Linked DNA regions of Callithrix jacchus. The protein of the gene in region 1 purifies or fractionates together with the protein of each later gene. This does not show direct contact. Links are inferred from orthologs where the notes say so. Each region holds a gene or a part of one and is shown in the gene's direction. Other genes may lie near its edges.

Region 1 (3,645 bases):
CTTCCTTTTTGAGACAGAGTCTTGCTCTGTCACCCAGGCTGGAGTGCAGTGGTGCTATCTCAGCTCACTGCAACCTCCACCTCCCAGGTTCAAGTGATTCTCCTGCCTCAGCCTCCCAAGTAGCTGGGACTACAGGTGTGTGCCACCAAGCCCGGCTAATTTTTGTATTATTTGTATTTATTTATTTATTTTGAGATGGAGTTTTGCTCTTGTTGCCCAGGCTGGAGTGTAATAGCACAATCTTGGCTCACTGCAACCTCTACCTCCCGGGTTCAAGAGATTCTCCTGCCTCAGCCTCCCTAGTAGCTGGGATTACAGGTGTGTGCCCCCTCTCCCGGCTATATTTTAGTAGAGAAGGCGTTTCACCATGTTGGCCAGGCAGGTCTCGAACTCCTGACCTCAGGTGATCTGCCTGCCTCAGCCTCCCAGAGTTCTGGGATTACAGGCGTGAGCCACCACACCCCGCCTATTTTTTAACATAGGATCGTGCTTTCTTGCCCAGGCTGGAGTGCAGTGGTGTGATCACGGCTCACTGCAGCCTTGAACTCCTGGGCTCAAGCAATCCTCCTGCATCAGCTTTTCTAGTAGTTGGAACTATAGGCACTACAATGCCTAATTTTTTTTTCAATATTTTGTAGAGATGGCATCTCACCATGTTGCCCAGGCTGATCTCGAACTCTTGGGCTCAAGTGATCCTCCTGCCTTGGCCTCCCAAAGTGCTGAGACTACAGACATGAGCCACACTGCCCAGCCTGCAGCAAGTTCAAGACCCTGAAGAGGGCCAGATGTGGTAGGAGCCAGAAACAGAAAAGAGGCCAGGCAAAGTAGCCTCCCAGCTACTCGAGAGATTGAGGTGGGAGAATCCCCTGAGCCTAGACAGGTCCGGGCTGTGAGCCATGATTAAACCACTGCACTCAAGCCTGGGAGATGGAGCAAGATCCCATCTCAATAATAATAATATTGGCCAAGGCAGGTGGATCACGAGGTCAGGAGATCAAGACCATCCTGACCAACATAGTGAAACCCCATCTCTACTAAAAGTACACAAATTAGCTGTGTGGTGGTGTGTGCCTGTGATCCCAGCTACTTGGGAGGCTGGGACAGGAGAATCACTTGAACCAGGGAATTGGAGGTTGTAGTGAGCTGAGATTGCGCCACTGCACTCCAGCCTGGCAACTTGTTTTATTTTATATTTGAAATAAAAATAAAGTAAAACAAAATAATATTATTATTTTTTGAGATGGAGTTTCGCTCTTGTTACCCAGGCTGGAGTGCAGTGGCGCGATCTCGGCTCACTGCAACCTCCCCTTCTTGGGTTCAGGCAATTCTCCTGCCTCAGCCTCCTGAGTAGCTGGGATTACAGGCACGCACCACCATACCCAGCTAATTTTTTGTATTTTTAGTAGAGACGGGGTTTCACCATGCTGACCAGGATGGCCTCGATCTCTTGACCTCGTGATCCACCCGCCTCGGCCTCCCTATTATTTTAAATGGAGTCTTGCTCTGTCATCTAGGCTGGAGTGCAGTGGTGCAGTCTTGGCACTGCCACGTCCACCTCCCAGATTCAAGCGATTTTCCTGCCTCAGCCTCCCGAGTAGCTGGGACTACAGGCATGTGGGACCATGCAGGCTAATTTTTGTAGAGACTGGGTTTCATTGTGTTGGCCAGGGTGGTCTTAAACTCCTGACCTCAAGTGATTCACCCACCTTGGCCTCCCAAAGTGCTGGGATTACAAGCGTGAGCCACTGCACCTGGCCTCCCTGACGTGTGTGTGTGTGTGTGTGTGTGTGTGAGAGATGAATGGGATGGAAAATGTCTTAGGGGTAATCAAGCCTTATTTATTTATTTATTTTAAAGAATCAGCGTCACCACGTGTTTTTTCTTCTCCCGCAGAGATCATCGATGAGTACATCAAGGAGAACGGCTTTGGCCTGGACCGGGCACAGTCCGGCCCGGGCGAGGGACTGCCGCGCTTGGTGTCTCGCGGGGCGGCCTCGCTGAGCACGGTCACCCTGGGGCCTGTGGCGCCCCCAGCCACGCCACCGCCCTGGGGCTGCCCCCTGGGCCGGCTGGTGCCCCCTGCGCCGGGCGGCCCACAGCCGCACCTGGTCATCACCGAGCAGCCCAAGCAGCGTGGCATGCGCTTCCGCTACGAGTGCGAGGGCCGCTCGGCCGGCAGCATCCTCGGGGAGAGCAGCACCGAGGCCAGCAAGACGCTGCCTGCCATCGAGGTGGGCCCGGCGCGCGGACCCGGGCGGGAGGGGTTGGGGCTTCACCTGTACCCGGAAGCCATCAGCATGCATCTATACGTTTATTTGATGGTTGCTATTGTTACTGTTGTTGGACCAGATATTAATAATTATACTACTGGGCTTGATGCGGTGGCTCACGCCTGTAATCCCAGCACTTTGGGAGGCCGAGGCGGGTGTATCACTTGAGGTCAGGAGTTGGAGACCAGCCTGACCAACATGGTGAAACTCCAACTCTACTAAAAATTCAAAATAAGGCCGGGCGCGGTGGCTCAAGCCTGTAATCCCAGCACTTTGGGAGGCCGAGGCGGGTGGATCACAAGGTCAACAGATCGAGACCATCCTGGTCAACATGGTGAAACCCCGTCTCTACTAAAAATTACAAAAAATTAGCTGGGCATGGTGGCGCGTGCCTGTAATCCCAGCTACTCAGGAGGCTGAGGCAGGAGAATTGCCTGAACCCAGGGAGCGGAGGTTGCGGTGAGCCGAGATTGCGCCATTGCACTCCAGCCTGGGTAAACAAGAGCGAAACTCCGTCTCAAAAAAAAAAAAAAAAAATTCAAAATAGTCGGGCATGGTGGCATGTGCCTGTAATCCCAGATACTCAGGAGGCTGAGCAGGAGAATTGCTTGACCCTGGGAGGTGGAGGTTGCAGTAAGCCGAGATCGAGCCATTGCACCTCACCCTGTGGGACAAGAATGAAACTTGGTCTCAAAAAAAAAAAAAAAGATAGTAATTATACTATCACCTGGGCTGGAATCCAAATGGTTCAAAAAGCTGGGGAGGGGGGTTGGCATTTGGCTGGGCACAGTGACTAATGCCTGTAATCCCAGTTCTTTGGGAGGCTGAGGCAGGTGTATCCCTTGAGGTCAGCCTGGCCAACATGGTGCCAGGCATGGTGGCACACATCTCTAACAATCCCAGCTACTTGGGAGGCCGAGGTGGGAAGATCACTGCAGTCTGACAGATTGAGACCTTGTCCCAAAAATAAAATGAAGGTGGAGTGTGGCGCTATGGTTCAGGCTTGTAATTCCAGCACTTTGGGAGGTTGAGGCAAGCGGATTACTTGAGCTCAGGTTCTAGACAAGCCTGGGCAAGATAGCAAAACTCTGTCTCTACAAAAAAATACAAAAATTAGCTGGATGTGGTGGCACATGCCTGTAGTCCTAGCTACATGGTAGGGCTGAGGTGGGAGGATCACTTGAGCCTAGGAGGTCAAGGCTGCAGTGAGCCAAGGTTGCACCACTGCACTCCAGCCTGGGCAACAAAGCAAGACCCTGCCTCAATTTAAAAGAAAAAAAAATATATATATATATATATTTCACCAGAAATAAAAAAAACAAGGAAAAGCAAAGGTGACTTTTGTCAGGGTATTAATGTATTAATAAGGTACAGG
Region 2 (3,745 bases), on another chromosome or scaffold:
AGTGCTGGAGATGGAAAAGCTAACTGTTCCCTTGGAGATAACCCTCTAAGAACATTGCTGGCACTAGGCTGGTAGCACTTGGAGTAGTGGGGAGGAACGAGGGAATAAATCATGGGGCACTGGTTTAGGGCTAACTTGTGGTGGGGTTCTCCTATGGCCTCCCTAGGCCCAGGGACAGGGAAAGAGGAAAGATGTTCTGGGACTAAGACTGAGGCAGTGGTGGGGACCTGAGCAGAGTGCAACCCAGCATGTCAGGGCCTCCCCAACATGGCCCCACTTTTTTGACTGCTGGGGGTGACCAGAAACTGTAACTGCCCAAGACCAGGGCTTCACTCTTTAAGGAAGAAGAAACCCCATAACCACTTTGCTTTTTAGACAACAGTCTGCTTGAGAAGATGCTCTTTCCAAAAAAACATTTTCATGCCCAATTCCATGTGATGTGGGAAGTTGACACAGGAGACTGTCTTCCAGGACCCAGGAGAACAAGTCCTTTAAAGATGATGGGAGTCCCCTTTCCCTACCGATACTCCTGGGCACTGATAGGGAAAGATGAGAAAGCCAGAGAAATTGAGATAAATGGGCAGGGGATAGGAAGCAGTGCTTCCCCATCCCACCACGCACATGCCCACCCTCAAAGACGCCAGCTTATAGAGACAATTAATAGATATTTCTTTAAAACAAATTAATGGTCTGGGCCTGGTGGCTCACAGCCTGTAATCCCAGCACTTTAGGAGGCCGAGGCAGGCAGCTCGCTTGAACCCAGGAGTTCGAGACCAGCCTGGGCAACATGGTGAGACCTCTCATCTTTTCTTGTAGTCCCAGCTACTAGGAGGCTGAGGCAGGAGAATCGCTTGAACCTGGGAGGCGGAGGTTGCAGTAAGCCGAGATCGCACCACTGCACTCCAGCCTGGGCAACAGAGCGAGACTTTGTCTCAAAAAAATCAAAATAAAGCGAATGAAGAAATAGAAGTGAAAGACGGAAAGAGTAAATGCGTGGAACTAATGAATGGAGTGTAAGAGGAAGGGGGAAAGAGTGAATGAATGAATGAGTGAATGAATCAACGAAGGAGTGAGTCAGGGCCCGGGAACCACAGACTCCAAGCCTACGTAGAGGCCGGGAAGGGGGATTCCGGAGGGGCGGGGTCTCTTTCCGGAAGCTCCAGCTGGGGGCGGGGCGGGGCGGGGCCATCTGGAGCAGTGAAACCTCTTTGGTCCGGGGGGGCGGGGCGAGGAGGAGAACCTGCTTGGGCGGCCCGGCTACCCGGAGTAACCGTTGGGTGGACCCGGCCAGCGCTCCGAACCCTGTCCTCGCTGCGCGCTGGCCCCTCGGAGCCCCACAGCCCGGGAAGGAGGCCGCCGCGGGCCGGGCGCCCGCTCTGCTAAGTGGACCCGCAACCCGGAAAGGCGGCGCGGCGGAGCTCGGAGCTGGATCCTGCTCGGACTGGACCCCCGCGGGCCGGCGCCGCGGGCATGTCCGAGGCTCGGAAGGGACCGGACGAGGCGGACGAGGGCCAGTACGACTCTGGCATTGAGTCTCTGCGCTCTCTGCGCTCCCTACCCGAACCCACCTCGGCTCCAGCCTCCGGGCCCTCGGACGGCGGCCCTCAGCCCTGCACCCATCCTCCGGGGCCCGCCAAGGAACCACAGGAGAAGGAAGATGCGGATGGGGAGCGGGCTGACTCCACCTATGGCTCCTCTTCGCTCACCGAGACCTTGTCCTTGCTGGGGGGCCCCGAGGCTGAGGACCCGGCCCCACGCTCGCCACTCCCCCACGCGGGGGCGCTGAGCCCTCAGCAGCTGGAAGCACTCACTTATATCTCCGAGGACGGAGACACGTGAGTATGGGGGCTAGGCTGATGCGGGATGCTAACTCTGGGCCTGCCCAAGAGCCGCAACAGGCCGGGCACCCCCACTCCCCGCTTAGGCTCTTTCAAGTCCCCATTCGCTCTTCCAAACTCCGACATAACTCTCAGCCCACTTTTGAGGTCCAGGCAGGCCCAGACCAGAAAACCTGGCATCATCTCTGTCCGCCCATTTTGGGGTGGGCAGAGCTGGCAGGACCCTTACCCAGGGACCACAGCCAGCATCTTGGAAATCTACCAGTAATCCACTCCTAGGAAGAGAAAATTCCCCTGACCAAGTCCAGTTTTTTTGTTTCTCCTTGCTGGGGAAGGGGACATCCTTATTTGCTCAATATCTGGGATTCCCAGTTCCTAAGCTCAGAGTTCTCTGTCTCAAGGACCAAAAGGTGCCAGTTACAGGGTGCCATTCGGGGGCCAGGAAGCTAGGCATGGAGGGGTGCCACCAGGGTGTAGAGTTGGGGCTGGTCCTCAGGAAGAGGGGTGAGCCAGGCTGGGGCACTCTTGCCCCAGCAGACAGACAGGAGGCTGGCTGCCCCAGCTTACTTCCTCCTCTGCTAAGAAAGGGGAAGTGAGGGCTAGAGTCAGCATCCCTGACATCCTCTACCTCCAGGGCCCCCCAATCCCACTAACTGTCATGCCTTACTCCCTCATTTAACCCTTCCTGCTCCAGACCCAGGTGGAGTTTGGTGGGAGTGGGCCAGAGGACAGTTGATGTAAAAGGCAGTTGTGTGGGATGGGTTGGCCAGCTGAGGATTTAGCACCCCCCAGGAAGAAGAAGACATTGACAGAGGAGGGGAAGGTTGGGATCTGGGGCTGATATATAGAGTTGGTGCGGGGGCTGGAATTCTTGATCAAGGGTGCTCAAGTACATAGGAGTAGGAGAGGCAGGAGGTGGCTGTCCTAACCTGCTTTTTGGAGGTGCAGGAGCCTAATCCTGGGTGACCATTGATAAAGACAGCTGGTGGACCCAGTGGGTGGGGGAGGAGTGACCCAGTCCTTTTCGTACTCTGCCTGGATCACCAGCCTTCAGGCCCAGAACCCCAAGGTTTTGGGGGCTGCATGCATGATGCCTCTGATGACATTTGATCCAAGGAGAGGGGACTTTTGACCCTGCCTCTTTAATTAGTCTCTCAGCCCCAGCCTTTTCCATCTCTAGTTAGAAGCAGGTGTTGTATCCAGACTGGGTGTGTGTGTGGTGGGGAGAAGGGTCCAGGCTCCCCAGCGAGTCCGCAGAGAGGAGGGGGCATTTTTCTCCATTGGAGGTATCTGGGCTGTGGAAGGTATGGAAGTGGGAAGAGGAAGTGGGAGGAGGGGATACTGGGGGAGAGAGGGAGGTGGCTGCAAGAATGTGACCCAGAGAGCAGGCCCTGACCGAGGGGATTTCCAGAGCGGTTCCTCCCTCCCCTCCGTCACTCTCCTGGGCCTCTCTTGCTGCCTGCCGCCAAAGCCTGCCGCCCTCCTGCCCAAGCAGCCCCCTCCCAGCCCAGATGGGCCTTTTAGCCAAGTTACCGTCCTCACTAATGCCCCAAGGCAGCTGTCCCGACCTAGACCCTTCAGCACTGGCTTTCATTTTCCCCACCTGACATGGGGAAACCCCAAGACTGGAACTTCCCCTCCCGACTGACCCCATTACCCCTAGATTAAGGTTCTTGGTCCCCTCAACAAACACATTTTCTGCACTGCAAAGACTTCCTCTTGGAGGTGCACAGAGGAATGGAGGGCCCCTGTTAGGCCTGACCTGGTCTGTGCTATCTGAGAAGCGCTCTTGACTCCCTGTGAAGGGCAGCAGGACAGGATGCTGCTCTGTCTCCTTGCTCCTCTTCCAAGAATATCTGTGTCTCTCCCTTGGAATGTCTAACATTGAGTTGCTTGGGGGTATGGAG
Region 3 (3,745 bases), on another chromosome or scaffold:
GATGGGGTGGAGAGCAAAAATTCTATTTCTGCAGGTAAAACCAGAGCACAGTGAGCCCAAACCCCTTTCTACCTGGGTGGCATGAATGAGTCCAACTGCTACCGTCCCCCCGGACAATGGAGCAAGGAGGGGCGGGCAGGACCAGACTGCCTTCAGCCTCCCGCAGGATGCCTGGCAACTAGTTTCTTAGTGGTCCTTACGGTCCAAGCGCGGTTTAAGGTACTAACTAAACTCATTCTTCAGTCTCCTTCTCCAAGTGTTCCTGGAGAATTGCTCAGTTTGCACCCAGAAGTAGGCTCAGGATCCATTCTCTGCAGCAGCACAATGTAGGTCAGAGAGCATGAACAAAATCGCTACTTAGGAACACAATAGTTATTTTGTTATTGCAAAGTATCCACAACCACTACTACAAAGATTAGCACCTAGCTTTACTTAGGGGGAAGAAAATCCTGGTCCTATTTAGCAGTTTCCCCCGTACAGGGAGAGTTCACCCCTCCCCCAGTCAACAGAGCTCTTCTTCCATAGGAACTTATTTGAGAGTTCTCCAAGGATTTAGGTTTTCACTCCAAAGCTTTCACAACTTCTATCTGGCGGGGTGTGCGGGGGTGGGGGTGGGGGTGGGGGTGGGGGTGGGGGTGGGGGTGGGGGTGGGGGTGGGGGTGGGGGTGGAGAAGCTAAGCGTCCCGGTGCTGCAAAGAGCCTGGTATTGGTAGAAACACGTCGGCGGCCTGCAGCCTTCTAATCACAGTGCGTCCTTCCCCTTAGAGAGAAGTCTGCGGAAAGCAAATCCCTACACCCAGCCATCATTTCCACTCTTGCGTTTTCAAAAGATCAAAAAACGGAAAAGACCGGCAGGTTGGCAAACCCCAAAGAAGGACTGCCCATCAGGTCGGCGTCCTTGGGATCTCAGCAGCCGACGACCCCAATTCAAAGCGATCGTGGGAAACCCCAGGGAAAAATGGTTAACTTGCAGAGGGACAGGATTACAGGGTGCAGGCTGCAGGGAAGTACCGGGGGCAGGGGGCCTGGTAGGAAGGACTTTCCAGCCACTCGGCGCTCATCAAAAAGTTCCCTGTCCGTGACCCCAGTGCCTCATCGCAGGGAGTTTCTCCGATGAACCCCAGCTCAGGGTTTAGGCTTCTTTTTCCCCCTAGCAGAGGACGAAGCCAGTTCTCTTTTCTGGTCTGACTGGCTTGGAAATTCCCCGCGCCTGACCCCGCCCCAGAGAAATCCCCAGCCAGCGTTTATAAGGGCGTTGGGGCGGCGCTGCAGAGCCCACAGCAGCCCGCGCCGCCGTACCGTTCGCCAGCGCTCCAGCGAGGAAGCAGCGCGCAGCCCGCGGCCCAGCGCACCCGCAGCAGCACCCACAGCTCGCCCGAGCAATGTTCCAGGCAGCCGAGTGGGCCATGGAGGGCCTCCGCGATGGGCTGAAGAAGGAGCGGCTGCTGGACGACCGCCACGACAGCGGCCTGGACTCTATGAAGGACGAGGAGTACGAGCAGATGGTCAAGGAGCTGCGGGAGATCCGCCTAGAGCCGCAGGAGGCGCAGCACGGCGCCGAGCCCTGGAAGCAGCAGCTCACCGAGGACGGGGACTCGTAAGTGGCGCGGGCCAGGGGTCGTTGGGAGGACCGGACGCGCGCAGGCGGGGCTTGGGGGGTGCTGGGCCTGCAGCCCGAGCCCGGGGACCAGCGCTGCAGCCGGGCCAGCACCGCGGCGCCCCGGGGCTCCTGCACGGCGCCGAACGCTGCAGGGCCGCAGGGCCGCGCGGGACTCCGGCTGGACTAGGAGGGGCAGAGGCTCGGCTCTGGTGGACCGCAGCGTCGCCACACGCCCCCTCCCCCCCATCCGTCCTCTAGGCCGGGGGCGGGGCGGCGGTGGGGACGCGAAGTCCCCGGTTGCATAAGGCGGGGCGGGAGTTTCTGGCCGCTGGCGGGCGCCTTGCAGCCGGGAGGGGAAGTACAGGGCGTTCCGAGCCGGCGGGAGGGCGGGGCGGTCTGGCCGGCGCCCGCCGAGGCCTGAAGGAGGGGGGCGGAAAGTCCCTGGGCGCCTGCCAGGAACACTCAGCTCATAATAACCTCGCGGAAAACACCGCGGCCTCGGCCTCCAGAAACCCCGGCCTTGCGCAATCCCCCGCAGCCCGCGCCTCCCTGGGCCCCACGCGGTGCACTCACCACCCCTGGGGGTTTTTCCCTCTTCCCCACAGGTTCCTGCACTTGGCCATCATCCATGAAGAAAAGGCACTTACCATGGAAGTAATCCGCCAGGTGAAGGGAGACGTGGCCTTCCTCAACTTCCAGAACAACCTGCAGCAGGTGCGCACGTGCCTGGCCCGGGCTTTCTTTGACCCTGGGACAGAGCTGATGTAGCAGAGTCACCCCAGATCCTTTCTGAATTAAGGGCCACTGGGCATTATTCACCCCTGCCGTTTACTTCGCATCAGCCCCCATCCTAGAGAGGGAAGGAAATTCTATGGATTTGGTGAGGTCTTTATGACCCACCTGGAGCCTCTGCTATTTGCCAGCCCTCCCCACCCTCCCACCTGGGAGGAGCAGCACCCAACCAGGAGACATTGGGGATCCGGGGAACTCGGGGTGTGGGTTTGATTCATGGCTTACTCTCTCTGGTTTCTCTTGCACTGGTAGACTCCACTACACTTGGCTGTGATCACCAACCAGCCAGAAATTGCTGAGGCACTTCTGGGAGCTGGCTGTGATCCTGAGCTCCGAGACTTTCGAGGAAATACCCCCCTACACCTTGCCTGTGAGCAGGGCTGCCTGGCCAGCGTGGGAGTCCTGACTCAGGCCTGCACCACCCCACACCTCCACTCCATCCTGAAAGCTACCAACTACAATGGTATGTCTGCCTTCCTGCCCTGCCCCACCCCCTCAGAGGGCAGGTGACATGCAGAAAGGGCACGTGGGCCAACTTAGGGAGTCCAGGAAAGAGCTTAAACTCCCAACCTGTGAAAGATCGAGAAAAGATGTGTGCAATATGCCTATTGGATACATTTTAAAAGTCCCTTCAGAACCCAGACTGGGGTTCTTAAAATTCAGAAGACATGACTGTTTGTCCCATAAAAGAATAGGTGAAAGGTGCTGCTTTAGGAGGGTTGAAACAAATGGTTATGCTTTTTTCCTTTTGTTCTTCCAGGCCACACGTGTCTGCACTTAGCTTCTATCCATGGCTACCTGGGCATCGTGGAGCTTTTGGTATCCTTGGGTGCTGATGTCAATGCTCAGGTGAGTGCTTCCTGCCTCCCATGTTCTGAGTCAAGCTCCTCGTGCTTGTGTTGCAAGCAGAAATTCCAAACGCAGCCATAGGCATCTCAAATTCCTTTTGGTTTCAGGAGCCCTGTAATGGCCGGACTGCCCTTCACCTCGCAGTGGACCTGCAGAATCCTGACTTGGTGTCGCTCCTGCTGAAGTGTGGGGCTGATGTCAACAGAGTTACCTACCAGGGCTACTCCCCTTACCAGCTTACCTGGGGTCGCCCAAGCACCCGGATACAGCAGCAGCTGGGCCAGCTGACACTAGAAAACCTTCAGATGCTGCCAGAGAGTGAGGATGAGGAGAGCTATGACACAGAGTCAGAATTCACGGAGGATGAGGTGAGTCTGAACTGCTTCAGTATTCTGTGAAATTAATGGCGGGGGGGCTTTCCCTTCACCCTCCCAGTCCCCTAGAGCTGCTCTTCATTAGAGGAATGTCCATGTAATGAATCTCTCAAATTTCTGTGTATAACCA

Evidence for each region.
Region 2: the proteins of RELB (region 1) and NFKBIE purify together in Homo sapiens (affinity purification with mass spectrometry; 3 studies listed by BioGRID and IntAct, counting the BioPlex papers as one, with this or other methods). This does not show direct contact. The link is inferred for Callithrix jacchus from reciprocal best matches to the Homo sapiens genes RELB and NFKBIE.
Region 3: the proteins of RELB (region 1) and NFKBIA purify together in Homo sapiens (affinity purification with mass spectrometry; 4 studies listed by BioGRID and IntAct, counting the BioPlex papers as one, with this or other methods). This does not show direct contact. The link is inferred for Callithrix jacchus from reciprocal best matches to the Homo sapiens genes RELB and NFKBIA.

Annotation. Positions count from the first base shown.
Region 1 is NC_133523.1:39,212,788-39,216,432, forward strand, and holds part of RELB (transcription factor RelB), read left to right. Parts: intron 1-1,893; coding exon 1,894-2,231; intron 2,232-3,645.
Region 2 is NC_133505.1:52,728,589-52,732,333, reverse strand, and holds the start of NFKBIE (NF-kappa-B inhibitor epsilon), read left to right. Parts: upstream 1-1,228; 5' UTR 1,229-1,470; coding exon 1,471-1,835; intron 1,836-3,745. UniProt on the Homo sapiens protein: Sequesters NF-kappa-B transcription factor complexes in the cytoplasm, thereby inhibiting their activity. Sequestered complexes include NFKB1-RELA (p50-p65) and NFKB1-REL (p50-c-Rel) complexes.
Region 3 is NC_133509.1:69,916,696-69,920,440, reverse strand, and holds the start of NFKBIA (NF-kappa-B inhibitor alpha), read left to right. Parts: upstream 1-1,273; 5' UTR 1,274-1,382; coding exon 1,383-1,597; intron 1,598-2,205; coding exon 2,206-2,314; intron 2,315-2,644; coding exon 2,645-2,855; intron 2,856-3,152; coding exon 3,153-3,241; intron 3,242-3,348; coding exon 3,349-3,609; intron 3,610-3,745. UniProt on the Homo sapiens protein: Inhibits the activity of dimeric NF-kappa-B/REL complexes by trapping REL (RELA/p65 and NFKB1/p50) dimers in the cytoplasm by masking their nuclear localization signals.